Linked DNA regions of Rhinolophus ferrumequinum. The protein of the gene in region 2 purifies or fractionates together with the protein of the main gene of each other region. This does not show direct contact. Links are inferred from orthologs where the notes say so. Each region holds a gene or a part of one and is shown on either strand. Other genes may lie near its edges.

What was found.
Region 1: the proteins of OS9 (region 2) and SERPINA1 purify together in Homo sapiens (affinity purification with western blotting; 4 studies listed by BioGRID). This does not show direct contact. The link is inferred for Rhinolophus ferrumequinum from reciprocal best matches to the Homo sapiens genes OS9 and SERPINA1.

Annotation. Positions count from the first base shown.
Region 1 is NC_046289.1:8,773,978-8,790,207, reverse strand, and holds the start of SERPINA1 (alpha-1-antitrypsin), read right to left. Parts: upstream 6,812-16,230; 5' UTR 6,704-6,811; intron 1,019-6,703; 5' UTR 1,015-1,018; coding exon 375-1,014; intron 1-374.
Region 2 is NC_046293.1:56,596,211-56,612,334, reverse strand, and holds the start of OS9 (protein OS-9), read right to left. Parts: upstream 9,104-16,124; 5' UTR 9,062-9,103; coding exon 8,900-9,061; intron 8,472-8,899; coding exon 8,295-8,471; intron 7,459-8,294; coding exon 7,395-7,458; intron 7,265-7,394; coding exon 7,188-7,264; intron 7,008-7,187; coding exon 6,909-7,007; intron 1-6,908. UniProt on the Homo sapiens protein: Lectin component of the HRD1 complex, which functions in endoplasmic reticulum (ER) quality control and ER-associated degradation (ERAD).

The DNA.
Region 1 (16,230 bases), on a different chromosome or scaffold from region 2:
TCTAAGTTGTTCCATGAAACTATTCCCTCATGCACGCTGCTAAAGTTTGCCTTTCTGGCTCTCTGTTGGAGGACACATTGCATGTTTTACCTCCCTCCCTGGTAGGGGTGTGCAGTGCACCTGAGAACGTTCACACCGTAAAAGGCTCTGAAAAGTCCTGCAGGGAACATGGGGCTTTAACTGTTTTCCTCATTGCTCCCTAACCTACTTCATCGTGGAAAGGTTTTTAGTGGTTGTGTGAGGACACTTGAATAACACATGCAGAGATGCACAGCCACATCACATCGTGTACTGCCAAGGAAAGTTTAAGAACTGACTGAGAATATTTGGGGATGTTTCCATGGGAACAAGCTCTGGCTAGTGGTGCAACCTACCTCTAAAGAAGATGTAATTCACCAGGGCAAAAACTGTGTTTTTGTCAAGCTCTGTGACCAGATCCACAATTTTTCCTTGGGTGCCCTTCTCTACATAATCGTTGATCCGTTTCTTGGCTGCCTCGGAATCCTGGAAGTTGATGGAGAAGGCTTCTGAGTGGTACAGTTTCTTGATGTCCTCCAAAAACTTATCCACTAGCTTCGCCTTCTCGCTGATGAACAAGCCATTACCGGTGGTCAGCTGCAGCTGGTTGTCTGGCTGGTTGAGGGTGTGGAGGAGATTCTGGAAGCCTTCGTGGATATCGGCCTCTGCTCTCTCGGTGAGGTTGAAACCTAGACCCTCCAGGATCTGGGTGTGAGTTTCCCCCTTGGTCCCCAGGGAGAGCACTGCCAAGGCTGCAGCGATGCTCACTGGGGAGAAGAAGATGTTGGACTTGGACTGATGGGCCACCAGGCGGTAGAGGCTGAAAGCGAAGTCTGCCAGGTTCGGGGCAATCCTGTGGCTGGCCGGCTGGTCACAGAGCTTGGATGCATTAGTCTCCTGGACACCGTCGCCCTGGAGACCCTCAGCCAGGGAGCCAGGGACCAGGCAGCACAGGCCTGCCAGCAGGAGGAGGCCCCACGTGATGGAGGATGGCATTGTCCTGCAAGAGGAGAAGGGGCCCCATACCCAAGTCAGGCATGTGGTGAGTCCCCCTGGACACCGATTAACACCATGAAAAGCATCCAGAGTTTATTAAGCATCTACTATGTGCCAACCCTATGCCAAGCCTTTGCCTACGTCAGCATCATTGGAAGACTCCCACCAGAATCACACCCAGATCGTCTGGGTCTGGAATTCACACTCTCAATGTCCCCACTAACATTTGCAATGGCCCTGAGGTGCAAGTGCCAAAGCTCCTGTTTTACAAAAAGGGTAACTGAAGAACAGCAAGCATAAGGTACATGCACACGATACTCAGGAAGTGGCCAGATTAGACGTGGGGATGATTGGATCTGGAACAGCCCTAGGAGCACTGCCATCGAACCCTGTTATTTGGTGGACAGAGAGGCTACTGCCCAGAGGGGAGGATCTTACACAAGGACATACAACCAGAACACAGCGGAGCTTTGAGGATACTCAGGGTTGGGGTGGGGGGTTGTGTCCCGTGGACAGTCACGTGAGCCTCAGCCCTTACGGCCAGAGGGCTGCCCTCACAATGAGTCTGTGATCTCGGCCATATGAATGGGGTGTCGTCCCTGCAGTCAGCTTAGCTGCTTATCCCGGTCACCACCTGTGTGTGTCCCAGCTCTGGGCTCAGCAAGGACTGGGTGTTTGAGACGCGCGTCTTTCTCGTGTAGCAGGGGCTTCTGTGTGTTTGGAGAGGGGTAGTTATTGAAATAGCATCTTTTTTCTCTTCACACAGACCTGGTTCCTCGGTACAGATCATTTAGTCACTCTGGCCCTCACTTAGCCTCATGTACAGAGTGAGGTTGTTAGGAGAACTTAATGAAATTAGTATAGACATCAAGTCTTACATTGAGGGCTCTGAGAGAGCAGCTGGATGAAGGAGAGGCTAGTCGGGGGTGCAAAGTAGAAGCCTTCAGAGGACAGGCAGGGGAGGGAAATGTGATCCATGGCTGGGGGGTGAGTGTGGGGCCAGACAGGTGGGAGGGGCAAGGCCTGTGGCTGACCCAGCAGGCGCAGATTCTATTTAGGGATGGTCACTGTCACAGCAGCGACGCAGATCCCTCCTTGCCCCACAGAGCTCCCTCACTCCAGATATCCCCAGCGCCTGTCTGCAGCCCCCAAGCGCAGCCTGCTCTGCTCGTGGATGTTGAGATGCAAGCAGAGGAAGGTGTGTCTGTGGCCGCCTATGAGGTGTGATCAAACAATATGGTGAATGTTGAAATAAACAAAAATATATTACTTTGGGGGAATAGAATCAATAATGTGGTAAAGATTCTGTAGGGTATTCGATGGACACTTGTCTTATTGGGGACACCGCTTCATGGATGGTGTAGATGCCTGGCCACTGTACTGTACACCTGAAGCTGAAGCTGAATAATAATGAATATCAACTATAATTTTATATATTTATAGTCACGGGACATGGAATACAGCATAAGGAATAGAGTCAGTGGAACTGTAACAGCTATGTACGATGACAGAGGGGTAGTAGACTGGGGGAGGAGGGTTATCACTTTGTGAGGGGTATAAATGTCTAACTAGTACATTGTGTTACACACCTGAAACTAATTTAAAAGAAATATTACAGTAATGGACATTACCATTAGTCCTCCTCAAAATACCTCCCCCCCGCTTTGAAGACATGTATCCCATCGTCCTCGCCACTTTCTGAAGCAGTTCTGGAAGTCCTCTTTCGTGAGTGTCTTTACTTGCACTGTCGTGGCTGCCTCCATGTTCTGAATCAATTCAAAACGTTTCCCTTTCATGGTCATTTTGACTTTGGGTAAGAGCCAGAAATCACATGGTGCCAGGTCCACTGAATAAGGTGGATGAGGACACACTGTAATGTTTTTATTTGACAGAAATTTCCATACCAGAAGCGATATGTGACACGGACCACTGTCTGATGGAGAATGAAATAAAGACACTCACGGAAGAGGACTTCCAGAACTGCTTCAGAAAGTGGTGAGAATGGTGGGATAAGTGTGCTTGATGCGAAGGAGAGTATTTTGAGGGGAATTAATGGCAATGTGTCTTTTACTGTAATACATTTTTAAAAATTTAAACATTCACCATATCTTTTGATCATCCCTCGTCGCTAGGTATGCCTCACATAACTAAAACCATCATTTTATAAAATACAGAGACAAAAGAGTCCTTGAATTGGGCACATAAAAACCTGAGTGGAAAAAGTTGGAAATAAGAAAGGCTGGCTTTCATCTATTCCCTTGGACTTTTAAAAGTTTTTTTTCCAATAAAACAACAAAAAGAAGCACCAAACTGGTCTCTTCCCACCACCTTCTTTCTAGCATTCATGCCTCTAAATAATCCAAACAAAGCAGACCATGCATTACATAATATGTGTTTATATTTTTCTTGAACTAGCCTGTGGTTTTAGAGCTGAATCTTACTAAAATTAGTTCTGTATGTTTCCATCTGCCTCAGGTTTCTTTTGACTTCCTCTAGTGGGTGTGGTCCTTCAGAATTCATGGAAATTCCCCATCTTTGTAGGCAGGACCCAGAGATCAGGAGAGATCAGAGATCTTAGGTGTGGTCCTTCAGAGTTCATGGAAATTCCCCATCTTTCCAGGCAGGACCCAGAGTTCAGGAGGGATTAGGACCTTGGCAGGGTGGGGACACGAAATATGCCAAAAGACCTCAGGGCCAGAGGCTGTGGCTTCTAGCCCTGACAAGGCCACTGCTGTCCACTTGGACTTGGGTAAACATCTTCTTGTCCTGGGGCATTTTCTCTCCATGTGATAAATCAAGGTGGGGATAGACCTAACTGAAGTCCTGGGCACTAACGTTGGATGCTTTATGAGAGGGGCAGCCAGGTTAGGTGGCACAAACTGGACTGGGACGTCCCATGGGGAAGGATGTGGTGAGGTGCCCTCTCACTTAGAAGGTGGCAAGCCTGCCGTGAGGCTGAGGTGGAGAGCGGCTACAACTGGGCGAGCGCTTGTTGCCCCCAGTCCATCTTCCTGGGTGTTAGATCACCCGCTCCGGCTTCCTCCCTCTACAGTAAGGGGTGTGAAGCCCAAAGCCGGTCAGGGCCTTGCCAAGGCCACACAGTGAGGCAGTGACAAAGCTGGAACAAGCCTTGGTTTTCTCGCCACTTGAACTACAGACTGAGACAGCCATGTCCTCAGGTCTCAGATTCTACGATTGTCAGCATTGGGCCCTAAGGGACCCTGACCTTCAGCCTCCTGTTGGCTTTATTTTGCCTCCCAATCTGTTTCTTACAACTTTGGGGGCCCAAGATTTCTGCTCTCTCCTCGCCCTTCTGTCAAAGGCAGCACCCCACACCCTCCCCAAAGCCTAGTGCCAGGGAAGCCACCCCAAGATGAGAAAGTAGAAGTGAGGCATCCGGAGGTGTATGGACCAAAGGAATGAAGCAAAGGAATGAAGACATCATGATGATGTTTCCAGAGTCTGTAGCAGGTAGGGTAGAATGAAGGGAACCATCCCTTTTGGCTAATCTCATACCGTGTCCACCCAGAAGCATGAAACGAGTGGCTGACGGTGACCTAGTGGGTTTCAGGGAAACAACTGTGCATGAGGTCACAACCTGCTGAAACCTGGCATTTAATAAGCCCAGGTGTGACCCAGCTCTGCCACTTACAGGCAAGTGCCTTGGGCAAGTGACTTCACTTTTTTGAGCCTCATCTTCCTGTTTGTAAAGTGGAGAAAAGAATCTCTTACAGGGCAGTTGTGAGAAACAAACAAGGTGATGGCACCTACCAGGTATGGCAGCCTCCCTATACCTGCATACAGGCAGGGACCACGCTTGAGAACTGGCAGATTTCTTCCTGGCCAGTTACCACATTGCCCAGGACCAGAGAAGGAGCCCCTGCTCAGCAATGAACCACCTTTGAGTTTGGAAAATTTTAAATTCAATCCTCTAAATATTTATTTATTGCCTATTAGCTGCCAAACGCTATGCACGGCAAACATCACATCACTGTCGTCATCATCACACTTCGCAAATATCTGGTACTTGATATGCACTGTTTCATCTAATCTTCCTTCAAAGCTTACCCTTTTGGGTGGGAATTATTATTAGCCCCGTTTTCTAGATGGAGAAATTGAGGCCTACAGAGGTTAAGTAACTTACTGAAAACCATGGAGCTAGTTGCTTACAGAGCTGGGATTGAACCCTAGGCATTTCAATTTCAGAACCTGGCTTTCAGCCTTTCTCTATGTATCAAGCTGAAGCCAGAAGCCTTGAAACAGAAAAATGCAGAGGTGTCCTGGCTAAATCAAGAGGAGCAGCATTGCTTTGTGGCTAAGCTCAGAGGCTACGAGGCCAGAATGCTCGTGTTCCACGTGCTATCAGCTGTGTGATGTTGGATAAGTTACTTAACCTCTCTGAACCTCAGTTTTCTGGAAATGATAAGGGTGTACTTCCTCATAGAGTTATTGTGCAATTTAAATATGCGCAAAGTGCCAAGAAATGCCTGGCACACAGTCAGCTCTCAGGAAGCATCAGTTGATATTGATTTCGTTGTGGGTCTTTCAGAGCACTATATGGGAGTCCAATTGCCTTGGCTATGGTCATCTTTGTAGCACTAGCTCCAAAATCCAATGACAGAAAAAAGAAATCATATCCTTCAACACTCCAGAGGTCAAGGCCAGTGGGTTGGGGTGAGAAGAAAGAGGGCAAAGGTTATCTATCTATTGCCTAAGAGGAAAGAGAAGTTGAGACCGCCCAGCACCAGTGAGGCCCGAGGCCAGCCCGGGCTTCCCGCGTCCCAAATGGCGCCCAAGGCCCCAGAGAATTAATGTTCGCAGTAAGAAGTGGATCAGGAGTATGAGTGCTGGAGCTAAGTGCCCCGAGTTTGAATCCTGGATGGTCTGTAATTTGGGGCAAGTTATAAACTTCTCTATCCTCATCTATAAAATGGGAGTAACCACGGTAACTACTTCAGAAGGTTGTTGTGGGGCTTAAATGTGGGACTGCTTACAAGAAGCCTAGCAGCCACCTGGTCAGAGGGAGGGCTCAGGAACACCGCTCGGCGCCCCCATGATGGTGCCCCTCCCAGCGTTTCCCATCTTGCTCTGTGCATGAGGACACCCAGGGCCAGTGCACAGGGAGGCCCATTTTGATCCCTCCAGGCTGAAGCCTGGCACAGCTCCGTTCTGAGCATTTCTGCAGAGGATGGAGGCCCGATGAGCAGCTGGGACTCTGGGCTTCTAGTCTGGACTGGCCTCCCCACCAGTTCCCCTCAGTAGCCTGGGCTTCCCACTGTCCCTCTCTGGGCCTTAATTTCCTCATCTGTAGCACAGGAAAAGATACCCAGCCAAGCAGTAGGGGAGGGGAGGCCTACTGGAGATGACTGGCAGGAAGGGTGCAGCTCTGCCAACAGAAACATGCTCCTTCCTGGGTCCCAGGACACCACAGCCTGCTTATCCACAGCCACCTCCACTTCTGCTTATCGAGGGCCAGTTTATTCACCAGTAGGTACTGGGGAGGCCCTGGGCAGGCTCTGGGGAGCAGGAGAAGATCTTCAAGGATGCTATTGCTATGACGACAGGAGCCCCCCCCACCCCACTCCACTTTCCATACATCTCTGGCGGGGGTGACGGTGGGGTGCTGCCTGGGTATGCAGGGACCCCGAAGCCCCCTCCGGAGACTCTCCCCAGCAGAAGGCATACGTACTTACGATTCACTGTCCTGGGCCGGGGCTGGTGACCAAGGCTGAGGAGACAGAGCCCTGTCCTCGTCTGTATTTAAGCAGTGGACCCAGAGGCGCGATGGGGGAGGCTGCTGGTGAACATTAACCAAGGTCAACCCAGTTATCGGAGGAGCAAACAGGGCCTAAGTCCGTCCTCCTGACAATGAGCTGCCCGCCCACGCTGCCTGTATGTGCTCTCCCTGGACAGCGCACAGCCCGTTCTCCACAGACCAAAGGGAATCATTGTCCCGCTCGTAAATCGCGGCATCCTGCATCCAAGGTGGGGGTGGCGTGAGTCAGGCACTTTGGGACAACATTACTGTCCTGGCCCTACATTTGCACTGGGGAGTTCTCCATGGCTGCCTTATTGGTAGCGAGAGCTGCCATTTACTGAGCAGCCTTGAAATACCTGCTGCTGCTGACGCACTGCTGCCATGAGCAGTGGGTATGTGTGTGGGGGGGCTGAGGGGTGGCGGCTGCAATGGGTGATGTGCCCACTTGTCAGACAGGGAAACTGAGGCCCATAACACACAGGCTATTCATTCCAAGTCAGATACAAAACCTCACTCAACTTCCTTGAGTTGAAACGGGGGGTCTGATTGACGGGGACGTAGCCATTTTAGGCTGGGTGGCCGTGGGCACAGGTCAGGGGTCAGAGAGTACATTTAGAAAGAAGAGCTGTGCTGCTTTAGGCACACTGCTTTACCTCTCTGAACCAGAGGGTGTTTTCACCTGCACCACCAGGGTTTGGAAGTCCTACTTCCTACGGTACCATGGTTGTCAGGGATACACAAAATGGCTTATGTAAAGTGCCACAGTAGGCTCTTTATTTTGGTCTACACAACCCTCTGGAAGCCCTGCTCTCCATGCTTCTCTGGGCAAGAGGAGGCTCAACTCCCCGCCAGGCTCAGACCTGTCTATTTCCGCTGGATGTGGCTCCTGGCAGACCAGTGCGATCCACATACTGCTGGAATTTTCCTCAGGAATGTGGCCCCGGTCCAGCTCTATTGCAGGCCCTTAGGGGCCCTGGTGGAGGTCGGGGGTGATGGTGCAGGGTTGAGGCCAGTAGGGCCCCACTTGACTGCGATCCCTTTAAAAACCTAAGGCAGACCACATCGCACTCTGTACCCCCTCCCCACACCCACACCTGCTTGAGACATAGTGTGTACTCCACAGGTATTTGTTGAATGACTGCATGGGTGAGTACATTTTTGTCTCCCTTCTCAGTTGTGGAACTCTGCCAGGTGAGTGACCTGCAGGTTCGTCTAGCACACAGGTTCAGACCAGGGAACCGGCTCCCCACTCATGGGCCATGAGATCTCGGGTAAGCTGTTTAACCTCCCTGTGCCTCAGTTTCCCCATCTGTATGATGGGATCACGACAGTACTAACTTTGTCGAGCTGCTATGAGGATTAAATGCAGCAGCTCAAAATGAGCTCAGAGCCCAGTGTTGGTGTGCACAGGACGCCCACCCCACCCCCCAGTGCCAGGGGGTCTCCCAGCGGAGGGCGTGAGGGAGGGGAGCCGTCCCTCTCTGAGCTCGTTTCTGCTCCTGCATGGGGGTGGTGCACACCCCCTCACAGTGTACTGCACTGAGCGACTGCATGAGAGGTCCATCCCCTCCCGACTGCCCAGTTCCACAATCTGGTTTCAGGGCCCCAACTCTTCCCCCTGAGCTGGCTGAATGGGCGTCTCCCCCACAGCTCTACATCTATTTGTAGCTTAGAGAGCTAGGCTGTGGCTGAGGTGAGGCCACCCTCCACACCTCTTGGGCATTTCTTCTCCTCCTTGTGCCTCAATTTCCCCATCTGTACATTGGCCTTTCTCCAAGCTTGTCTACCCCTCCCACCGCTCGCACTGGATGGACAACAGCAAGCACCCCACTGTCCAGGCTATGGCCAAGTTCGGCCCCCTCAGCCCAGTGGCCTGGGGACTGAGAGGAGGGCTGTCCTCCCTCTACCTCCGATTCCGAGTGCTGTGGTGGCCACGCCTCTTGTCGCCCCAACCTCCTGCTCTTCCTCCTCTTCCTCTGGAGCTTTGGGGTGCTGAGGGCTGCAGCACGCAGGCCACACGTGCCCCAAGCACAGTGCCCAGTCTCTGCCGCCTAGGAGGAAGGAGTGGCCGGTGGGGGCAGTAGGTCTGGGAGGGGCGGGGAACTGGGGCAGGAAGCTGCCTTGCACAAAGCTGCCAATAGCTATCAGGTGACCCTTCCCTGCCCGGGCAGTCCTGTGTGTCACCTGCTATTCCTGCTCTGTTTGGCCTATGTGACCCAGGACAAGTCACCTAGTTCCTCTGCAAGAGGGATGGTGGCACCCAGTTCAGAGGATTAATGGGGATGACAGGCATCCCCCTCCTGCCCAGGGCCTGGCACCAGCATCTTGGCAGATTTCCAGGGCCAGCTGTAGAGAGAAGAGGATGAGCCACCTCTGAATTGCCCAATGGGAGCCCCATGGAGGCTGCGAGGGGTCTGTGTGTGTCCCAGACCCTGGCTGGGTACAGAAGGGATGCAAGACATCACCGGGAGTGCAGAACATTGGAGGAGGAATGAAGAAAGATGAGGGGGCGGGAGGAGTTGGAGAAAGTGAGGGGCTCAGGGTTGTCCCTTTTGAGTCAAGGGCTCTATGCTCAGCCCCTCCTTACCCTCATCCTCACACTCCCTCACTCCCCGTTCCTCTGCAGAGAGGTCTCCTGGACACGTCCTGGGAAGAAGGGGGTGAGAGGATCTGGGAACCGAGAAGGCACAAAATTCCTGGGGTGGGGGAACCCAGTGGCCATTCTTGAAGCCACTGTGTCCCATGAACCACAAAGCATGGTAGGAAATGTCTTGTCCCCTCGGTTACTTCTGGAATCGTCAATTGCAACGTCTGGAATAATTCCCTAGGAGTGAATGCATCAGAGGAAGATCCTGTAGGCTGGTTGTAAATAATGGGAACCTGGGGACACCCTTCCCCTCCATAGGTCCTGCCTAGAGAGGGGAGTAGGAGGGAGAGAAACCTGATAGCTGAGGCGTGAGCTCTGCAACAGGAAGAGAGGGGAGAAATGTGCGAGGGGCCCTGGACTAAGCACATCAGGGACCAGAGACCTGGACTGGTCAGGAGAGCGATGGTGAACTTTAGGGGTGCTGTACCCATTGGCAGACTTCCCTGGGGAGTGCGGGAGCCAATCTGTCCCATGCACACACACAGATATGCCACATGTACCCCCACTCTTGGATCCCCCATGCTCATTATGGGATTGCCCCTCCAGGCACTGGCTCTCTTCTTCAGGGGGCAGTATGGGGCAGGTGTGGACTTGGTTGCTAAGCACCTGAGTTCAATCCTTAACTCCACCACTCTCTTTTTGTGAGGTCTTAGCCTCGTTAGCTCTCTGGGCCTCAGTTTTCTCATCTGTGAGAAGAATGGTTACTTCTACCAGGACTGCAAAGAGTCAATGAGATGACGAGAGTTAGGGCGGCCTCAGGCACAGATGGGCCCGAAGTCAATGCCAACCACGGTATGCTCTTTGGGAATGTGTCCTGGGCCTGGGAAGCCTTTCAAACGGGTCTCAGGGGACTGAGCAGGAGGAAGATTTGGGGGGCAGCACTCTTTGTCCCGGGACCAAGAGCTTGCACAGGCCCAGGTGCAATTGCATCTTTCTGAGCATGTGTGAGGTCCAGAGGGCCGAACTGGGCATGGGGTGGATGGAGCCGGGCCAACTTGGATTCAGAGGAGGACTTCCTTTCATCTCTCTGAGCCTCAGCTTTCACATCTGTAAAATGGGGATAATATGAGTCTTTCTCTTAGAGTTCTTATGAGGGGATGCTTGTGAAGTGTTTAACACCAGGCCTGCTCTTTTCGCATAACCGACACTGTCTGTCTTCTCATAGCTCGTTAGTCAAAGGTTCTAGCTTTTAACTTCCAGGTGATGAATTGAAGTTGCACCACTGGTTCATCTTCTCGTGACTTGTTGCAAATCTTGCAACTTGCATCCCCCTAGTGGGCCCTGTTTCCTTCCTCTTTCTTCTGGAGCCACTTCCTGTGTGTGGTTTGATTCTTGCTTTTTCTGAACTATTTGGCTAATTCACAGCGTGTTGTCTTCATTCCTCATCCTTACTCAGCGAATAAGAAGACAAATCTATGCACTGGAAGCGACATTATAGTTAATAGAAGGAATAGAACGCATCTCTAGCTTCATCCTCTACTTGTTAAAATTAAAAAAAAAAGCACTAATGTTTTTATTATAAAGCTAACCTTTTCTACACTTTAATTTTACCCCTTTGAATTTATGGGCCATTGTGGCCATTATGGACTTTCAATTTTTAGGAGACTGACCTTGTCCTATTTAACTAGTTCTGATATTTCCTTTTAGAAGCTCAAGTTGTCATATTTTGATGAATAGGAGATCCTTTATCTCTTTCACCTTTCAGCAATCTTTGCTGACATTTCAGAAAGCACACGCTTGTTTTCTAGCAATGACATGTGTCCCAGGCCCATCTGCATTTTCTCCTGTCCCAAGACATGGCATCAACGACCCTCTGGGGAGCTGTGGGAGACCCCCCAAGGACCTTGGGACTTGTTTTTCAGAAATAGAAGCCCTACGTGGGTGGCTCAGATAATAGAGAGCAATAGGGCTCTTAAAACTTGCCCAACTCGGACCTTGGGTTGCAATGGTTCGATCCACCTTGTTGTTTTTCCTGTTGATTTTAAGCATTTCTGTTTGCTTGGTTTTAACGAGTCTCTCACTGCTTTCGTTTTGCAATACAAATCCCCAAACTGACTCCACTGAGTGGCCTATCTGCATCATAGCTAATATTTCTTGAGCACATACTATCTGTTTGCCAGGCGCTGTTTGAATGGCATTCAGTGGGTGCCATTAATACCCCCTTAGTACAGATGAGGAGGAAACTGAGGCACAGAGAGTTAGCGAGATGCTCACAACGCAGGCCCATCCGACCTGCTGCCTGTTTTGTAAGGTCGGCAAGTCGAGAATGGTTTCTACGTTTTTTAAATGGTTGAGACAAAAAAAAAATCAAAAGAAGCATAATGTTTTGTAACACAAGGAAATTATATGAAATTCAGTTTTCAGTGTCCACATGTAAGGTTTTCTGGGAGCCTAGTCATGCCTGTTCATTTATTGCCCATGGCTGCTTTCATGCTACGGTGGTAGAGTTGAGTCATTGTGACAACGACGCTGTGGCCTGCAACGCTGAAAATATTTACTATCTGGGCTTTTCAGAACAAAGTTGCTGGTCCCTGCCTGAGGTGACAGTCACATTCACCACCTCCATTTGTCTATCACACCACTGCCTCCTTGGCTGCCAGCTTTTGTGCAGGCTTCTCTCTGTCCCAAGATGGAAGCACCTTCCCCTTTCTCTTCACATGGCGGACTCAGTGTGTCCCCCACCTCCAGGCCCAGGACAAACTCATGGCCCCGTCCTGATCCCCTTGGCCACAGCCTGGCCTTGCTGGGTTAGGTCTCCCTCCTGCTGCTTCCTTGGCACTTTGTACATATCCCTTTAGGACACTTACGGTAACAGGTGACAATGACTGAGCAGTAGCGCCCGCCAGACACCAATCTAAGCACTTAAGAGAGATTAATTCTTCTCATCCTCACAATAGGCCTACAGGGTGGGTGCTTTTGTTATTTCCATTTCGCAGAAACTGATGCTCATAGACGCCAAGCAACTAGCTCTAGGTCATGGAGCTGGTGGGTGGCGGAGGGGAGATGTCAATCAGGCCACGTGACAGAGGGCAGGGGCATGGAGCCCCAGAGCTCGGCTCTAACCCCAGACTGCACTCACCTGAGGGCAGGGCCGGGCTTTCCCCAGCTCTCTGACTGCGCTGGGCACAGAACAGGTGCTCCGCAGGTGCTTGATGAGTTAAAAGGAATGAAACAGAGTACAAATGGAGCATGTCTTTGGCAGAAGGTTCAAGTGTCTTGCCAGGGTGAAAGCGTGAAAAGCTTTAGAATGTAAAAATGTGTATGGGGCATGCAACTTCCTAATTAACAAACGGTTGTTTCGTCTGTTTGAGCTGGAAGCCGTCATATGATCTTGCCCCTCACAGCCAGGACCTAAAGCCTGGTTTTCCTGCTCGCCAAGCCTGGGCTCCCACCAGCACCCAAAGCCGCTTCTGCCATCTGCCTCCTCAGTCAGCCCTGAGAAAAGGGGACCCGTTCACGGGAGAACAATGGAGCGAGGACTGAGATGGAATAGTGAAATGCCACCGAGGGAAGGGGATGGCATCACACCCGCTGTCCCCTCCTTTAGGTCTCCCTGTGGCTCAGCCTTTCTCCTGGGCCCCCTGCCCAGGCGCTGACCCTGCCATCTCCCCGCCCCTACAGCTGCAAACAGCATCCCCCCAGCAAAAGCAACCCGTTCTGTGGGGCTACGGGGCTGCCAGGCCCCGCGAACACAAATGCTCATCTTGCCAACAGCTCTGCGAGGAAGGTTTAATGATACCCATTTTGCAGGCGAGGCTCAAAGAGAATAAATAGGATGACCCTGTAAAACCTGTCCTGAAGCCTCCCATCGCGCCACCTCTGCACCGTTACCACCTGTACGTGCCACCATCGCTTCCCTGCCTTTACTTTCTATGTATTTATTTTTATTGAGGTGTTAGTTAGATGCAGTGAAACCGTAAATCCTAAGTGCACAGCTCGATCCATTTTCACATTTATGTACATCTGTGTAACCTCCATTCAGACTGAGATGTAAAGAACAAATCCTTCCAACCCAGGACATTCCTTCCCGTCAATCTCCCCATCTTCCCCGGAATGTCACTTCTGCTCTCACTTCTGTCTCCATAGATCAGTTTCACCCCTTCTAGAAGGGCATGTAAATACACTGTGTACTTTTTTTTTTTTTTTTTTGCATCTGGCTTCTTTTGTTCAATCATGTTGTTGTTGTTGTTGAAATTGATGGAAGTTGCTGCCTATATCAGCACCTTGCTCACGCTTCTTGCTGAGTACAGTTCCATTGTAAGGACGTACCACAATTAGTTCATCTGTTGATGGATGTCTAGATGCTCCCAACTTTGACCATCATGAAAAAAGCTTCTGAGCGTTCAAGCGCGAGTCTTAGTGTGAACCTGCTTTCATTTCTCCTGGGTCGGTGCCTAATCCTAGGGTAGCGTGCACTAAACTTTGTAAGGAACTTCACTCTCCTCTGCACCTTCCCCTTGCCCATGTCTGTGAAGGCTTCCAGGACAGCAGTGGAGAAGCAGTTCAAATCCCAGATGTGCCTTTAAATGCTGAGAACCTGGAGCCAGCCACCCCATCTGCTTTGTGGATTGGGGATGATAATCTTGACATTGTGGGGGTCCAGTGAGGATTATAGGACACCCTGATCACGAAAGGCCTGACTCAATAAATATCATTTCCCTTGTTTTTTTCCACCCTTGGGGCTGTGTGGCTGTTGTTTTAATGACAAGCAAATGGAAATTAAATAGTTCAGTGAAATGCCTGGGAACAAAATAACAAAATGGTCCAGGAATTTAGTGAAAAATCAATGATTTCCATTCTACTTAAACCAGTTCTCAGGGGCTCGAATTCAAGTTTTCACCTTGTGGAGTGTTGGGCAAGCAAGGTAAACATAGCTAAGTCAACACTGCCTTTGGGAAGAAGGTCTGTGCTGAGCAAACAACAGGATGCGTGTTTTTCTGGGCCTCCTTCTGCCCTCTTCCCCTGCCTCCACTGGGCTAAAAGGGAGGCAGGTATGAAATGCCCCGTTAAGGAACTCCACTAGGTCCTGGAGGTAGTGGGGTGGGATTAAGGGAGAGGTACCCTTCTCCATCCCAGGGGCTGGAGTCTCCGGTTCACGGGGGAGGGGAGACATTCAGGGGCTTGTAGGCACACGATTTACATACACACAGGCAGATACACAGAGAGACATGTTACCACCCTCTCGTGAGACTCTGAGACTCCCCTTTCTTGTATGAAAAGCTCTGGAAAAATGGTGGTTCCGACACTGCCTGGGATGGTGTGGACCATGGGATTATGGGCCAATCAGAGCAGCCTCGGTCACTGTGAACAAGTTACTTAACCTCTCATGGCTCCACTATCCATCCTTATCTGTAAATGGAGATTAGAGTTCCAAAGTCTTAGGGTGGTTGTTAGGATAAAATAAGGGAATATATGTAAAGGACCAGAGATAAAACAGACACTCAACAGATGTTGATTCCCTTCTCTTCCCCTTTCCTCTTCTGGTTTTTTGGTTTGGTTTGAACATGAAGACGTAAAAGAACAACTGTATAGGGCAAGAGCTTATATATCTAGAAACTAAAGTATATGTATAGAAGTTTCTGGAAGGAGATAAACCAGTGGTTATCCTGGAATGCACACTTACCAGTTGGAGGGACTTTTTGTCCTTTGTATATTCTTGTGTGTTTATGTTTTCACAACAAGAACAGGTTGCTATTATGAAAAAGCACATCTTTGACTCCTTTTAACTTTAGAACCAAACAGAAGGATGCTGTATGTGACATCTGGATCTTCCAAAAAGTTGGCTTGCCTGGGATTTCTCTTTCACGTCTTTGGCTTTCCTCCAACCACCCTAACCCTTGGACGTCACTCAGCCTGATGGGGCGGAAAAGCTTTCCCGGGGAAGTCAGCCAGCGCAGGGCTCAAATCCTGGTCTGTTGTTTATTAGGTGGGACCTGAGGAAAGTTCCTCAATCTCTCTGTGAGCCCAGCAAAAAAATAGAAGTTGTATCTACTTCAGAGAGGTATGGGGAAGGCCAAACAGGATGGCAATATATGACCCAAGCCTGTAGAAACTGGAGCAATTGGAGGAGCAGCTTTCCTCCCCTGCAATGTGTCGGTCACAGTCCCCAAGGAGATGGCCCCTGCAGCCACACAACAACCCTGTGCCAGGGGCACTGCCTGTTATTATCTTGCTCTGCAGGAGAGCAGCCAACACTCGGAGAACTTAAGGGGCTTGTCCAGTTTTGCCGTGAAAGTCAGCAGCGTTCCTTCTTCTCTGTCTGTACATTACAACATAAACGTTGTGTAATTTATGGTCATGTCATATTGTGGCTTTGATCCTGGTGCCCGGAGAGGCTGAAGGTCTGTGTTGGTCATTCATTGGTCCTCTTGCAGTTTGCACCCTGGATGTGCCCTCTAAGGGGACATGGGAGGGCTCCTGGGGATGGAAACCCCCATGGCTGGATTTCAAGATTATCCTGTTAGCCTCATGGAAAAGGAAAGACGTAGGGAAACCCGATACTTCTGCATCTAAAGAACATCTTCCAGACGCAAATCAGCACCGACCCAAACCCTGTTCAGAACGTTGGTCATGTGGTCAGCTAGAGCAGGTTGGAACCGTTCTCCTCCACCGGGAGCAGCCATGACTCACAATTACGTGTGTGGCAAAGGTTTCAATCAGCCTAATGAGCTGATGCATATCTACTAATGGAATCAAAAAATAGTACCTCCAATTTATGTTTCCTCATTTCTTTATAAATTATACACCTGTGCAACCGCCTCAATGCATCATTGGCCTTAGTAAAACAAATAAGACATCTTAGGAAGGAGCT
Region 2 (16,124 bases):
ACAACACAAATCTACTTCCAGGAATTTAATTTCCATATACTCTGTTGGTATAAGGTTATTCACTGAAATACTTTTATGTCAATAAAAAAGTTAAAACAACCTAAAATGTCCATCAACAGGGAAATATTTAGATAAATGATGGTGCAAGTGTATAAGAGAATAATAGCAACCATAAAAAAGGATGAGGAAGCTTTTAATACATTGATTTGGAAAGAGCTCAAAGATATATGCTTGTATACGCATTAAAAAAATCTCTGAGTGTATAAGAAGAAGCTAACAATGGTTACCTTTCTTGTGGAGATGGCACCAGGCCGATGAGGAGAAAAGGGTGTTAAGCCTTTCCTTCCTATACTTTTTAAAGCATTTCTATATTTGAATTGTGAGAATGTACAATACCCATTCAAAAAATTAAATAGAGAATTTTTATAAGTGTGAAAAACCCCAAGAAGTTAGAAAGAGAACACAAAGAGAAGGAAGAAAATAATAAAGATAAAATAATGAGGACATTAATGAAATAGTAAACAGACAATAGAGAGGATGAACAAAGTCAAAAGATGGCTCTAGCACTAATTAGATAGCTAAATCTCTGGCAAGACAGATCAACAAAAAGAGAAAAGGCAAAGTCGATATTAAGAATTAAAAAGAGGGTATATTTTCAAAAAATAGATTATGAAAAAGAAAATACTATAATTTTATGGCTAATACATTTAAAAATGTAGACAACTAACTAAATGGCCTATGAAGTTATAATTTATTAATGCTTCATGCATAGTAAACCGAAACAATCTTATAATTATTCTAAGTATAACAAAAGCACAGGCAATAAAAGAAAAAACATAAATTAGACTTTGTCAGAATTCAAAACTTCTGTACATAAAGAATACCATTAAGAGAATGAAAAAGCAACCCACAGAATGGGAGAAAATATTTGCAAATCATGTATCTGATAAGCAATTAATATCCAGAATATACAAAGAACTCCTACAACTCAACAATGAAAACAAGTATCCCCATTCAAAAATGAGCCAAGTACTTCAATAGACATTGCTCCAAAGAAGATATGCAAATGGCCAATAAACACATGAAAAGACGCTCTGCAACATCAGTCATTAGGAAAATGCAAATCAAAACCCACAAAAAGATATCACTTCATACTCATTAGGATGGCCATTATTAAAAGAAAAAGGAAAATAACAAGTGTTGGAAGAGGTGTGGACAAACTGGAATCCTTGTGGATTGCTAGTGGGAATGTAAAATAGTGCAGCAGCTGTGGAAAACAGTTTGGCAATTCATCAAAAAACTAAACATTAGAAGTACCCTAAGGTACACTCCACTCCTAGGTACATACCCAAAAGGACTCAAACAGATACTAGTACACCAATGTTCATTTAGGCATTATTCAAACTAGCCAAAAGATGGAAAGACTGTCCATCTACCAACTGATGAATAAACAAAATATTGTTAAATATTCCATGAAAGGAATATGCCATAAAAAGGAGTAAAATTCTGATATATGCTATAACATGGATGAAACTTGAAAACATTATGCTAAGTGAAATAAGCCAGACACAAAAGGATAAATATTATATGATTCCCGTTATATGAGGTACCTAGAACAGGCAAATTCATAGAGACAGAAAGTAGAACAGATGCTGGGAGAGGAGGAAATGGAATATTACTACTTAATGGGCACAGAGTTTCTATTTGGGATAATGACGTTCTGGACATAGATAGTTGTAATGGTTATACAACATTGTTAATGCACTTAATAAAACTAAATTGTACACTTAGAAATTGTTAAAATGGTAACTTTTATGTTATGTATATTTTACCATAGCTTAATAATAAAAACAAATAATAAAACAAAATAATAAAAACAAATGTAAAAAAAAAAGACATTGAAAAATGGGCAATGCACCAAATTCACCCATAAAATATGCACTCCCAGTAACCCAATAACTCTCCTTCTAATTCTTGCACATTCACAATGAAACCTATATTGCAAGACTGCGTGTGAAGAGCCACAGAGTTGAAACCCAACTGTTTCTCAATAGAGGAATGGTTAAATAGACAATGAAACACAATGCAGCCATTAATATCATTGAACTAGATATTTTCATGTAATGCCACAGAATGGCAAAAACACTGATTAATGAAAAAGCAAGTTGGTAACACTGATGTATAATTTTAAAACACAAAACAATATATCGTCTATGATATGTGTATCAGTAATAAAAGTACAAAGCAAGTATGGAGATGGTTGGGGTTGTTTCTGGAGAGGTGGGAGAGAGAAGAAATGAGAGGCTGGGCTTCAACTATATCATTAGCATTTTAATTCTTTATTAAAAAAACAGATCTGAAGCAAATATGGCAAAATGTGAACATCTGTTTAACTTGGCAGTGGATTTATGGGTCTCTATGACATTGCTTTCTCTACGCTTGAAATGTTTCATAATTAAAAATTAAAAAGGAAAAAAATTCTAGATCTCTCTGAAATCTTATATAAGAATTGAGATAGGGATCCAAACTTATTTAATTCCAGATGGCTAACGAATCATTCTCAAACCCCACAGAAATTATGTATTTCCCAAACACTATGTACACAGCTCCTACCGAGGCATCGAGGTGTGGGGAAGATGAAACTTCACCATGCATGCCCTGGAGCGAGGGATTTACTCAATCACACAGACAACGAACTTGAGTGGTTGGTCAGACTATGAGAACTAAAAAAGAGAAGCAACCAGGCAGGAATTCCCTCAATTTTCTTTTCCTAAAACCTGTAGACTCCCCAGCAAATATAGCACCCTCTCACTCTAGTTACAACCCTAGAGCCCCACTCCTCAGGATAACTGCTTTCCTGTGTTCTGCATCCCAGTACCGCCCACGTTCTCTTCCTGTTCTTTCTCGGGTACCTCAGCCTCGCCTTCTTTCCACTAGGTCCACCCAACATTTACACCTGCTCCCATGTTCAGACACAAAACCACCGAGTAGCACCCTCCCTGACCCCACAGCCCCTCACTAGTGCTTGTCTTTCCCTCTCCTTCCATCTAGACTTCACCATTTTCCTCCATACCTCATCTTCACCACCCCCACTGAAACTGCTCTAGCAAAGATCGCCAATGACCTCCGTCATCAAGTCCAACAAAGGACTGGGCAGAGGTGACTGGGGCTAGAAGACTTACGAATTTTCCTCTGGTTCCCAGGCCAGCTGTCTGAATTTTTATTTCTGTGTGCATATTTTGCTTTTATTAAAATAATAACTCCTATGATTACATACAAGCCGTTTTTAATTCTCCTACTCCTTGAAGGTTCGGATGCAGCCAACACCATGGACCTGTCCCTCCTTGAGACAGGTCCTTCCTGGGTTCCATGTCACCAGTCTCCTCTCCGGCCCTTCTTGGCAAAGCCCCCCTCTGCCCATGCTTTCAATGATGGCTCCCTCAAAGTTCTGGCCCCCCTTTCTCACTATATAAGGTTTCCTGGGGGAGGGGGATTTTATCCGTACCATGACTCCAATTATAACCAGTATGTTGATGACTCCCAACCCTCTGTGTTCAAATCAGATCATTCTCCTGAGCTCCAGACCCATAGATCCAACAGCCTGTTCAGATATCTGCACTTGATGCCTATAGTCACTAAAATCATCCTATTCAAAACCAAGATCATTTTTTACCCAACCTAATCCTCTTCCCACCCAACCTATCTCAGTAAAAAGAATCACCATCCATCAAGTTGCTCAAGCCAGAAATCGGGGAATCTTATTCTATTGATTTCATCCCCTAAATCTCTCAAAAAATTCCCATTTCTTCATCCCTGGGCCCCCTTGTTTTCTCACCTGGATCGCTGCAACTGCTTAACTGGTTTCCCAATCATGTGATATACTCCAGCCTAAGTGAGCCTTCCACACCAAAACTGACTATGTCATCATTTTGCTTAAAATACTTCATTGGTTCCCCCATGTTTCTCAGATTGTCCAAACTCATTAACATAGCTACAGACTTCATGACCTGTGACTTGTCCCCTCTGGACAGCTGCCCAGCTCCCTTCACACAACCTCCCAAACCACCTTCCCACAACTCTCTCCATCACTGTGAATAGCTCTCAAGTCCTGAGATAGGCCATTCCCTCTTGCCTCCTGGCATTGTGCATTTACTATACCGTCCACCTGGAATGCTCTCTTCTCTTTCCCACTCCTCTACAGCTACTGGACTAACTCCTCTTCCTTCCATTGCAGTTCAAGTATCACTTTCTCCCAGAGGCCTCTCCTTTACCTAGAATTGGTTAGTTCCTTCATTGTATGCTCCCCTGTGATACTTCACTCATCAGAGTTATTTCACCTATCAGAGTATTTATCCTACTTGTTGTGGCTGTTTATTTAATGTCTCTCCTGAGAACAGGACTTGGTCTCTCAGTCATCATTTTATCCCCAGTTTCTATTATAGCGCTTGGCATAGGGCCTGTATGTTCAATAGACGTGAGGAAAATACAGTCTTCACCTTCAGTTCTTAGTCTACTGAAGTTACAAAGAGGTAAAGAAATAATGAGAATACAATAAAGTGCTATAATAGATTATATGTATGGATGCTTATAGGTTGCTACGGTCTGAATGTTTGTGTCCCCCTAAAATTCATGTGTTGAAATCCTAACCCCCAATGTTACGGTATTAGGAGGCGGGGCCTTTGGTAGGAGCTTAGGTCATGGGGGCGGAGCCTCATGCATGGGATTAGTGCCCTTTCAAAAAAGACCCCACAGAGCCCCCTAGATCCTTCCACCATGTGAGGATACAACAAGAAGTCTGTGACCTGGAAGAGGGCCCTTACTCAGACATGCTGGCACCCTGATCTCCAACTTCCAGCTTCCAGAAATATAAGAAATAAATTTCTATTGTCTATAAGCTACCCAGCCTGTGGACTGAGACATGGATACAGGGGGATGTGGATGTATGTATATGAAATGCTGAAGAACTAACTAACTAACACAACTAACTTCTGGGTTAGCCAAGAAAGTTCACATAAAATAAATGATATTTGACTTGGCTTATCATTCATTTTATTCATTCAAGGAATAATTTCCGGGCAGCTACTTGGCGCCAGGCACTGTTCCAGGTACTAAGGACACAGGAGAAAAAAAGCAGACCTTGTGCCTGACTTCTCGGAGCTTATTGTAGTGGGGTAGACAGGGAGAGATCGTACACTGAAACGAGTAAGATAATTTCAGGAAATGACACATGCTTCAAAGAATATAAAACACTGGAGGCGTTTACCAGGATGGGGGCAGAAGAGTGCATGCGTGTGTGTGTGTGTGTGTGTGTATGTGTGTGTGTGTGTGTGTATCTCTGTGCCTATGTCAGGTCTCCCTGTGGAGGTGTCACCGGCATATTCGAGAATAACCCGAATGAGGGGATTAAGCCAGCCATTCAAAGACATGTGGAAAGATGGAGGGAAACAATGAGGCCTACTAGTTAAAGGAAAGAAAGAAGGCCAGTGGGGCAGAAGCACAATGAGTACATATGTCTCCAGGCCAGACATCATCCCTGAACTCCAGAATCACACAGGCCGCTAGCTACTGCCGACATATCACCACTGGGATGTCCAATAGGCATCTTGGCCTTCATATGCCCAACACCAACCTAGTTTTCTCCTCCAAACCTGTTCCTTCGTACTTTACTAAATGACAATTCCAGTCTTCCAGTTGCTCATGCTAAAACCCTGCAGGCAGTCATACTTGACTCTACCCCACAGCCAATCCATCATAAAATCTAATTGGCTCTACCTTCAAAATATATCCAGAATCCCAACTGCTTCCTACCACCTCTACTGCTACCACTCTGGTCTCGGTTGAAATATTTGGATCTTATCCTCTGAACACGGCAGAATCATCAAAACTTTTCGAGGACTGGGCGGAGAAGCGACACATGCTTATAGTATCATGTTGGAGCCAGCTCACACCAGTTCACAAGACCCAACTAGCAAATTTTCAGCAACGTTGCAAGACAGTTGACATCATGGTAATAGCATTAATTTGACCATGGTGGGAATATTTATAACATGGATATTGGCAAATATTATAAATCAGGACGCCCCTCTCCACGCCCCTTACCCTACCCTAATGCTGTGGATGTGCAACATTTACCAGCACACAATTGTATGTGCAAATCTGTATTACAGAAAGGTAATTCTTGTTATGTGGTTCTCTACAGGTGTGTACATTTGTGAACACACATTAGAATCACCTAAGGAACTTTTCTCACCATACATCTGCCTGCCTGCCTGAACTCATTGAGGACCACTGCACCAGAAACACTTGTTAAGAGGCTGTTGGCAGTGATGCAGGTGAGAGATGAAGGTACCAAGCATAGGAAAGAAGAAAGTTGTGAGAGAAATCTAGAATAGACTGGACATGCTTTGGCATTTACGAGAGAACTAGATCCCTTTCCTTTATAGCACTCCTCAGTTTGTAATCACAGACTCATTTCTGTGGTTCTTTTGTTAACATCTGTCTTCCTTTCTAGACTATGCACTCCACGAGTGCAGGGGCTGTGTGTTTGCCTACCACTTTATTCCCAGAGCAGAGCCCAAAACCTACTGAAGAAAGGAGAACACAGTGAAGGAGAAGGAAGGATCAACAATGACCTTCAGGTTTCTAGATTAGGTGACAGAAAGGAGAAACATTGAAAAAAAGAATAAGTGTGGTTGGATGTTCGGAGGGGAAGACTTGGGAAATGTTGACTAGAAGTGTTTCTGAATATCCAAGCAGTGATATCCAGCTGGCAACTAGAAATAAGAGTCTTAAACTTGGGTTTAGGGTCTGAGAGAGACCCTCATGACTGTACAATGCAACCTTGTCCTCTTCTATTAGAATCTGCAATGTCACTGAGGGAGTATCAACTTCCCTCTTTCAAAACTCACCCGAACCTCGGCCTCCCGGGGTCTCCCATTGAGGTCACACTTGGATCCATTGACATAGGTCTGGCTGTGGTAGCGTTTCAGGCGATGCTGCTTGGAAGCCTGGAGAGGACATCAGGCAGGAGCGGTGGGATAAGAAAGACAGCAAGAAGGCAAGAATAGTACCTTGTCCTAACGGCCACCAAACCCCAGGAAACAGCTAATTCTAACCCTCCCCTTCTTTTCAGGGCTCTTAATCTGCAGCCAGGACCCCTTTTTCTCCCAATCCCACACTCCTGCCACCTTGGCTGTTTCATCATCCCAGTCGAAGGCCGATTGGTAGTAGCCGAGATACAGAACTTCACCTTTGATCTCTGAATCTGCAAGAGAAACCACAGCAAATTATGGTTACTCCCTTCTAAGAGGACTAGGAGGGAAGAGGACTGAGAAGGCAGGTCACCTTCCATGACAGGTTGCTAAGGGCTTAGGGAAAATGGAGGTGTGAGTCACCTTCCATGTGATACTGCTGGATGTGTCGTCCATAACAGAATTCATATGTCCACCAGTCCTTGGTCTGACAATAAAAAAATAAACAGTCAGGGGGATGGAGTGCAGATGTCTCTTCTTGGAACCAGAATCTCTCCTGGCTCCAAGACACATAACCTATCACCTACTTCTCATCTCCCTCTGCTTCCACACTCAATTCGCCAGATTCTCAATAAGGAGGGAGGGCTGTGACTCAGAGAGATACTTATAAAGTCTGTTTTCCACCTGTGGGCTTTTTAAGCCTACCTTTTTAATGATTTTTTAATCCTTTTTGCTCTCCATAAAGATAAGAAATCATGATATCCTTGAAGCACTAAGACCAGGGAAACATAAAATATTACAATATTAATTTAACTTCTACAACATTCCCGTGCTGTTCTGTCACTGGGGATACAGCTATGAACAAGAAAAATTCTCTGACCTCATGGCCTTTAGTGCTGGGACTAGACCAAAAATAAATACACTGATGATTCAGTTAGTAAGATAATTTCAGATCATGAAAAGTGCCATGATGAAAATGAAATAGGATACTGGGGCAGACAGTGATAGGGGCAGGGGGTGATTTTACCAGGAAAGCTTCTCTAGAGGAGTGCCCCTCCTACCCCACACTGACCCTCTTTAGGGTCAACCCTTGGCTTAACCCTTATTTTGAGATCTTCTATCCTAACCCTACTCTACATTCAGCGAAGTGTCACCAGTGGTTGCAAAATTCTTCGTTTCTTTCCTGTCTGTACAATGTATACTCCTCCAATGGCCTTCTTAACTTTGACAAGTCCTCCCTATCCAGCCTTACTCTCTGGCACTCTGGTTCTCAGATAGAGTTAGTACCCAAGCCCTCATTCCATACATCCCAGTCCTTTTCACCTTCAGCAGGCAGGGAGCATCTTTCATTGGGCTCAACAACTCAGGGATCCCAGGCCCTTGGTAAGCAGGTGTCTCCTCCTCCCTTTCACGCTGGAAGTGAATAGCTCCAGCTGGCAGGCGACATTCATAGCGCTGTTTGTACTTAGAGGAGACAATCACCACGTCTGAAGCTTGGCTCTGGGAAAGAAGGGAGAATAGGTGGACAGGGAGGCAAAGAGAGCCTAGGATCAGGCAGAACAACAAGATCCTCTTCAGACCCCGGGGGAAAGCCCAGTCAAGACAGAATGAGCCACAAGTCCTCCTAAAGCTTTGTTTAGCAGGTGACGGGAGAGGGCACACCCACTGCTCCATAGGGGCGGAGTCGGGGGGGTGGTTTCGATCAGGAACTAGGACCTGAAGCTGACAGCGGGAAGCCCCACCCCTCCCAGTCCCTGGCCCCAAGGGAATGGGTCTCAGTCTGCGATACTCAGGAGACATCGTAAAACTCCTACCTACTCTTCCTGATTCTCCCGCCGCTCCTTCGGCTTTCTCCTTAGCTGCCCTTCTTCCTGTACTTTTCCCCCTTCCCCTTGCCCCGGACCCTTGCCCGCTCTACGCCTCCTTACCTGCCCTCCCATGACAGGCAGCGGCAGGATCTCGATCCCATAACGCATCTCACTCAGTTCTTCCAGGTTCAGGCTCCCGACACAGCCGGTCAGACTTGCAGGTAACAGGAGCCCCAAAAGCAGAAGCCCCAACAGCCTGGACAGCAGCGTTTCTGCCGCCATCTTTCGTTCCCCTCCTTATCCAGAACGACTCCTTCCGCCCTAAACCTGGCAGCAGCCTCACCACGCCCATTAACGCCCCAAAATTTCATTGGCTAGATGTTCTGTCCCTCTCACCTACCTTATTCCCATTTGTAAACGTGACTTCAAAGCCCACGGGGAGGTGGATCACGACCATTGGCAAAATCACTCGCTGCTCGTAATTGGTTCGAGAGGCTAACCAACCATCGACGAGATAAGACCTCCTCCCACTCACTCCCACTTCCAGAAAGGCGTGGTCTATGCTGGGCCCTTTTAAGCAGTTTTCTGTCTTCGCACAGCTGTCACCCGCATCATTTCTTATTACTTTTTTTCAGTCGTTTCTTGCACTGTAGTTTGTCCCCATCGGGTGGAGGCTTGAGGCCAATGGGTGGATGCACGCAAAACCCCTGAAAGATACTTAATACTTGTTGCAAAATAATTATATAAAAGCGCTCCTCTTTTCATATATGCATACAACTTTAGGGCAATCTGGTAATTTGTGTCAAAACCTTTCTATACGATTCTGTCTGTACAATATGTTTTCCTCCAATAAAATTATCATAAATAAATAATGGGGGCTTCCAGTTAAAGACTGGGGAGAGGGAAAGGCAAATACACAAATTATCCTCCAGACCTTGTAAGACCAACGAGAAAGAGAAGGAGACAACAGCAGCAACATTTCAGAAGTTAGAAAGCAAATGTAAGAATGGTAACTGGTTTAGCAAACCTGAGAAATTGATTCCTAAACAAAGGTAAACATGAGCATGATTGTACCTAGAAAACTTCTCCGGGGAATCTGACCAACCCAAAAGAGAAGTCTCAAAGAGACTCTCATTAGGGTCCTCTTAATGAAATAGATGAAGGAATCCTACAATGAAGCCTTGGTCTACATGTCCAGCTCTCACACGATTTTTCCAATAAGCTTTATAATGTCCTCACTCTTAAATATAAGTAGACAGCCAAAGATAATTAGACAGTTAGGGAAAGTCTTTTAAAAAGACAAGAAAGAAAGCAAAACAAGCAAGAAGAAAAAAATAAATTTAGAAGAAACAAAAATTGCAAGGGAGAAAAAGACTTAAATAAATCCATCATTAATGTCCTCAGAGAGATAATATATTGTATCCACCACATAACAACAGGAAGCTATTTTAAAAGTAACTACAGGCCAGCCCGGGTGGTTCAGGCGGTTAGAGCTCCATGCTCCTAACTCCGAAGGCTGCCGGTTCGATTTCCACATGGGGCCTGTGGGCTCTCAACCACAAGGTTGCCAGTTCAATTCCTGGACTCCCGCAAGGGATGGTGGGCTGTGCCCCCTGCAACTAGGAAACGGCAACTGGACCTGGAGCTGAGCTGTGCCCTCCACAACTAAGACTGAAAGGACAACAACTTGACTTGGAAAAAAAAGGCCTGGAAGTACACACTGTTCCCCAATAAAGTCCTGTTCCCCTTCCCCAATAAAAATCTTTAAAAAAAAAAAAAGTAACTACAATTCAGATAAGGAAAAAGAACTCTTGGAAATCAAAACCATGATAGCAGAAATAAAAATTCAATGGAAAGACTGGAGGATAAAGTTGAAGATCAAATTACTCTACTTTAGGAGAAAATTAATAAAAATAAGAGGATCTCTCCAGGCCTGGAAAGAGAACAGAGAATCAGAGGGAAGAAATAATCAAAGAAATTATTTTAAAGTATTCTCCTGAAATGAAGAACTGAGCCTCTAAATTGAAAGGGCACACTAAGTATCCAGCAAAACAAATCAGGCCCACACCAAGATACATCATTATACACTATCAAAACATCAGGCACAGAGAAACAATTCCAAAGTTTCCAGAGAGAAAGAACAAGTTGCATACAAAGATCAAAAATCAGAACAGCGTTAGGCTTATCAATTCATCAACACCGTAAGGGAGAAGACAATGAAGAAATGCCTTCAAAATTTAGAAGGAAATTATTTCCAACGTAGAATACTACATTCAGCCAAATGGATTTAATCGTAAGTCCAAAATAAAGATAATTTCAGATATGTGAACCCTCAAAATATTGATACTCTAGGCATTGTTTTTCAGAAAGACTGGAAAGGATTTATTATATCAAGACAAGTCAGTAAGTCAAAAAAGAGAACAGTATGGAGGGATCCCTCAAGAAATGAGGGATCCAGCACAGAAAAGAAACAAAAGGAATCCCCAAAGCAAAAGTAAATGGAGATTCCAAATTGTAGAGCAGGCCTAAAGATCAATTCATCAAGATTAAAGCAGTTCAGAGGATTTGGGAATGATTTATTTAAGAAATACAATTGATAGAATACCTAATGCATTTGAACTTATTGAGAAGACATTTGTATAAGCAGAGGAGAGTGTGGGGCAATATTAAGTGATAAGCATGTAGAAAGGTGAAAGGGGAAAAGATAGCAATTCTAAAGAAAATAAAAACTTGTGCTAGGAATGCTAACCGTCTTCTGTTTTCTTCAATATGGTTGGTTATCCTCATACTAAAAACTGAAAGTCCTGAGTAAAATGTAAGTATTTTCCTTCTTAAAAGCATGGTAAAGCCAACAAGACAGTAAAGAATTAACCGGCCAAGCCGGCCCGGTGGCTCCGGTTGAAGCTCCGTGCTCCTAACGCCAAGGGCTGCCCGTTTGATTCCCACATGTGCCAGTGCCAGATGGCTCAGTTGGTTGGAGCGCGGGCAACTAAGATTGAACACGGCACCCTGAGCTGAGCTGCCGCTGAGCTCCCGGATGGCTCAGTTGGTTGGAGCGCGTCCTCTCAACCACAAGGTTGCCGGTTGGACTCCCACAAGGGATGGTGGGCTGTGCCCCCTGCAACTAGCAACGGCAACTGGACCTGGAGTTGAGCTGCGCCCTCCACAACTAAGATTGAAAGGACAACAATTTGACTTGGAAAAAATCCTGGAAGTACACACTGTTCCCCAATAAAATCCTGTAACCCTTCCTCCCCCCCCAAAAAAAGAATTAACCGGCCAAAATCTAAATGAAGTCAGAAAACTAGAGAGGTATATTCGAAACATTGCAGTCACCTTTGCATGAAGGGAATTTGCCAAATTAAAGAATTCAGGTTTGTTGTTGTGTTGTTTTCTCTTGTTGTTGTTGTTGTTTTCTGAAGGAAGGGACAGAAGGCCACTCAAGGTGGAGAGTCTGAAAGAAGATCCTTCCTGCAGCAAAGCTGCCCCTAGTTCCCCATATCCAGGGAACTGCAAGGAGGGTTGCCTTGGTGCCAAACAGAGCAGGGGAATTTGTGACCACAAGTAGGCCCTTAAAGAAATTTGCAGTCCAGTTTCACAACATTTGGGTGGCTAAAAAGATTCAAGCTGTAAATTTAGATTTAAGTGGTTCCAGGAAGAGAGTATAATGCCCTAGGTACTTGGCAGACGGAAACACAAATCCACTCTGGAAAAAATGTCTCTTCATCCTAGGTACCAAAGAACTCCTACAAATCATTTGCCAAGGAAAATTAGTAGCTCATAATAAAAAGTAGGTAAACACAAAAGAAGATGAGGTGCCATGGAGAGAACCAGAAGAAACAATAGCAGAAGCTGAGCCTGAAAGACTTCAGATAGTGTAAGTATCTGACACAAATTATACAATAATTATGCTTACTATACTTAAAGAATTAAAAGAGAAACTTGAAAATATATCAGCAAACTATAAAAATGACCTAACATATTTAAAATACAGGTTCTAGAAATGAAAAATATAAAGTTTTAAATTAAAAACTGAATGGATAAAGTAACTAAATAGTTTAAGAAGCAATTGTTCTTCATAGAAGAATTCCAACTAATAAGTGTAGAAGGAATGATATACTGTCATCATTTTACAATCCTAATGAAATAATTGATCTAGACAATAGTCATCAATGAACTGTCAGAAGCATCAGGTAAGAGGCTTATAGGTGAATCAAGCTGACATCATGTATATACACTGATAAAACTTAACATCATGAAGAGGAAAAATCAGAAATTACATGTTTCTTGATGGGATACAATAGGAAGTACAGAGCATTATCTATGAAGGATTCTTGCCAAAAATACAGAACTTTAAATATAGCTGCCAGTTTACAGGAAATAGGAGAAATAGGAGAATATGTTAAATGACACCACCAGAATGTAATTCTGATGTAATCAGAAATAAAACATGATCAATGCCCCAGTTTTTTCAATAAATACATTGCAAGGGGAAAAAAAGGGGAGGAGCATAGTTAACGATTAAGAGATTTATGAAACATATCAATGAAATGCAGTGGATAGATCTCGTTTAGATCCTGAATCAAACCATCTATAAAAAGACTTTCATGAGTCAATGAGGGAAATTTGGACACTGGATATTATATGATATTAAGATATCTTTGTTAATTTGCTAGATGTGACATTAAATTTGTTATGCTATGTTAAATTTGCTAGATGTAACAATGGTATTATTGTCACATGTTATGTTATATTATAAAAAACAGTCCTTCTCTCTAAGAGACACATACTTATGTATTTACCAATGAAATGGCATAATGTCTGGTATTTGCATTAAAATAATTCTGTGGGAGTCTGGGAGAAGTGGTAAGGGTATAGAGGAAACAAAATTGACCATATTTTATAAAAGTTGAAGCAAGATAATAAGTACATGGAGATTCATTATACTTTACTTTTGATTGTATTTGAAGTTTTCCACTTAAATTTTCTCTTCAGAAACTCAAAGAGCAGTTTATGTTTAACTGAAGATAGGATTAATGAACTAGAAAATAGATTAAAGAAATTATCCAGGATGAAATACAGAGCAATAACGAGAGGAATATGAAAGAGAAAATAAGACACACGGAGAGTAAAGTGAGAAATCTAATTGGAGTTCTAGAAGGAGTAAAAGAGAATGAAGCAAAAACAATGTTTGAGCATTTCCCAGAACTAATGAAAGATACAAACCCACAAATTCAAGAGGCCCAACAAATTTAAAGAATAAATAACAAGAAGAATAAATAACATAGACATATCACAGTGCAACTTAGTAACATTAGAGAAAAACAGCAGATCTTAAAAGCATCCAGAGTGTGAGTTATATGATGTATGCATTTGTCAAAACTCATTGACCTACAACATATAAGGCCTGTACATTTCATTGCATATAAATTTTACTACAATAAAAATAAAATTAAATTAAAAGCAGCCATAGAAACAGATTACCTTCAAAGAATGAAGTGGAGAATAGGTAAAAATCCTACATGATCACTGACAGTAAAAAAACAATACTAATGTCTTCTAGAGTTTAACATTAAGATATAATTAAAACACACCAAAACAATAACATATACATTGGGAGGCTGATGAATAAAATTAAATTGTTCTAGGTTTCTTGTATTGTCTGCAAGGAGAGTGTGCTCATTATCAAACTATATCTTTCAGTTTCAAATCCACTGTTCTATATACTGCTGTGATCCTGGGGCTAGTATTCTGAAAACCACATTTCAATTTTTTCTATTAAATAGACTTTTTTTTTTTTTACAAGTTTCAGGTTCACAGAAAAATTGAACATAAAGTACAGAGAGTTCCCATATAACCGCTGTCCTCACACCCTCACAGCCTGCCCCTACCATCAATATCCCACACCAGAGTGGTACATTCATTACAATCAATGAACCTACATTGACACATCATTATCACCCAAAGTCCACAGTTTACACTAGGGTTCACTCTTGGTGTTGTACATTCTATGTATTCTGATAAATGTATAATGCCATGTACTTACTATTGATAGTATCATACAGAACAGTTCACTGCCCTGAATATCCTCTGTGACCTATTTATTCACCCCTTCCTCCCCAAAAACGTAGGCAAACACTGATCTTTTTATTATTTACATAGTTTTGCCTTTTCCACAATATCACATAGTTGGAATCATATAGTACATAACCTTTTCAGATTGCTTCTTTCACTTAGTAATATGAGTATGGACTTAAGGTTCTTCCATGTCTTTTCATGGTTTGACAGCTCATTTCTTCTTATGGCTCAATAATATTACATTATTTGGATGCACCACAGTTTATTTATCCATTCACCTACTGAAGGACATCTTGGTTACTTCAAAAGTTTTGCCAATTATGAATAAAGCTGCTATAAATACCCATGTGTGGGTTTTTCTGTGCACATAAATTTTCAATCAATTTGAGTAAATACCAAAAAGTGCAATTGCTGGATTGTATGGTAAGAGTATGTTTAGTTTTATAAGAATCTGTCAAACTGTCTTCCAAAGTGGTTTTACCATTTTGCATTCCCAACAGCAATGAATGAGAATTCCTGTTGCTCCACATTAGCATTTGATGTGGTCAGCGTTCTGGATTTTGGCCATTCTAATAGGTATATAGTAGTACCTCACTGTTGTTTTAATTTGCAATTCCCAATGACATAGGATATGAGGCATCTTTTCATATGCTTATTTGTCATCTGTATATCTTCTTTGGTGAGGTGTCTGTTCAGGTCTTTTTTCCAATTTTTAATTGGGTTGTTTGTTTTCTTATTGTGGACTTTTAGAGTTCTTTGTATATTTTGTCTAATATTCTTTTACCAGATATTCTTTTTCCCAGTCTATAACTTGTCTTCTCATTCTCTTGACAGTGTCTTTGACAGATCAGAAGTTTTTCATTTTAATGAAATCCAGCTTATCAATTATTTCTCTCATGGATGGTGTCTTTGGTGTTGTATCTAAAAGTTATTGCCATACCCAAGGTCATCTAGATTTTCTTCTATGTTATTTTTTAGGAGTTTTATAGTTTTGCATTTTACACCTAGGTCTATGATCCATTTTGAGTTAACATTGATGACAGGTACGACTGTCTCAATTCTTTTTTTTTTTTTTTTGCATGTGAATGTCCAGTAATTCCAGCACCATTTGTTAAAAAAACTACATTTTCTCCATTATATTGCCTTTGCTCCTTGGTTAAAGATCAGTTGGCTATTTTATGTAGGTCTATTTCTGGGCTTTTTATTCTATTCCATTGATCTATTTGTGTATTCTCTCATCAATAGCACTATTTTTTTTAATTATAGG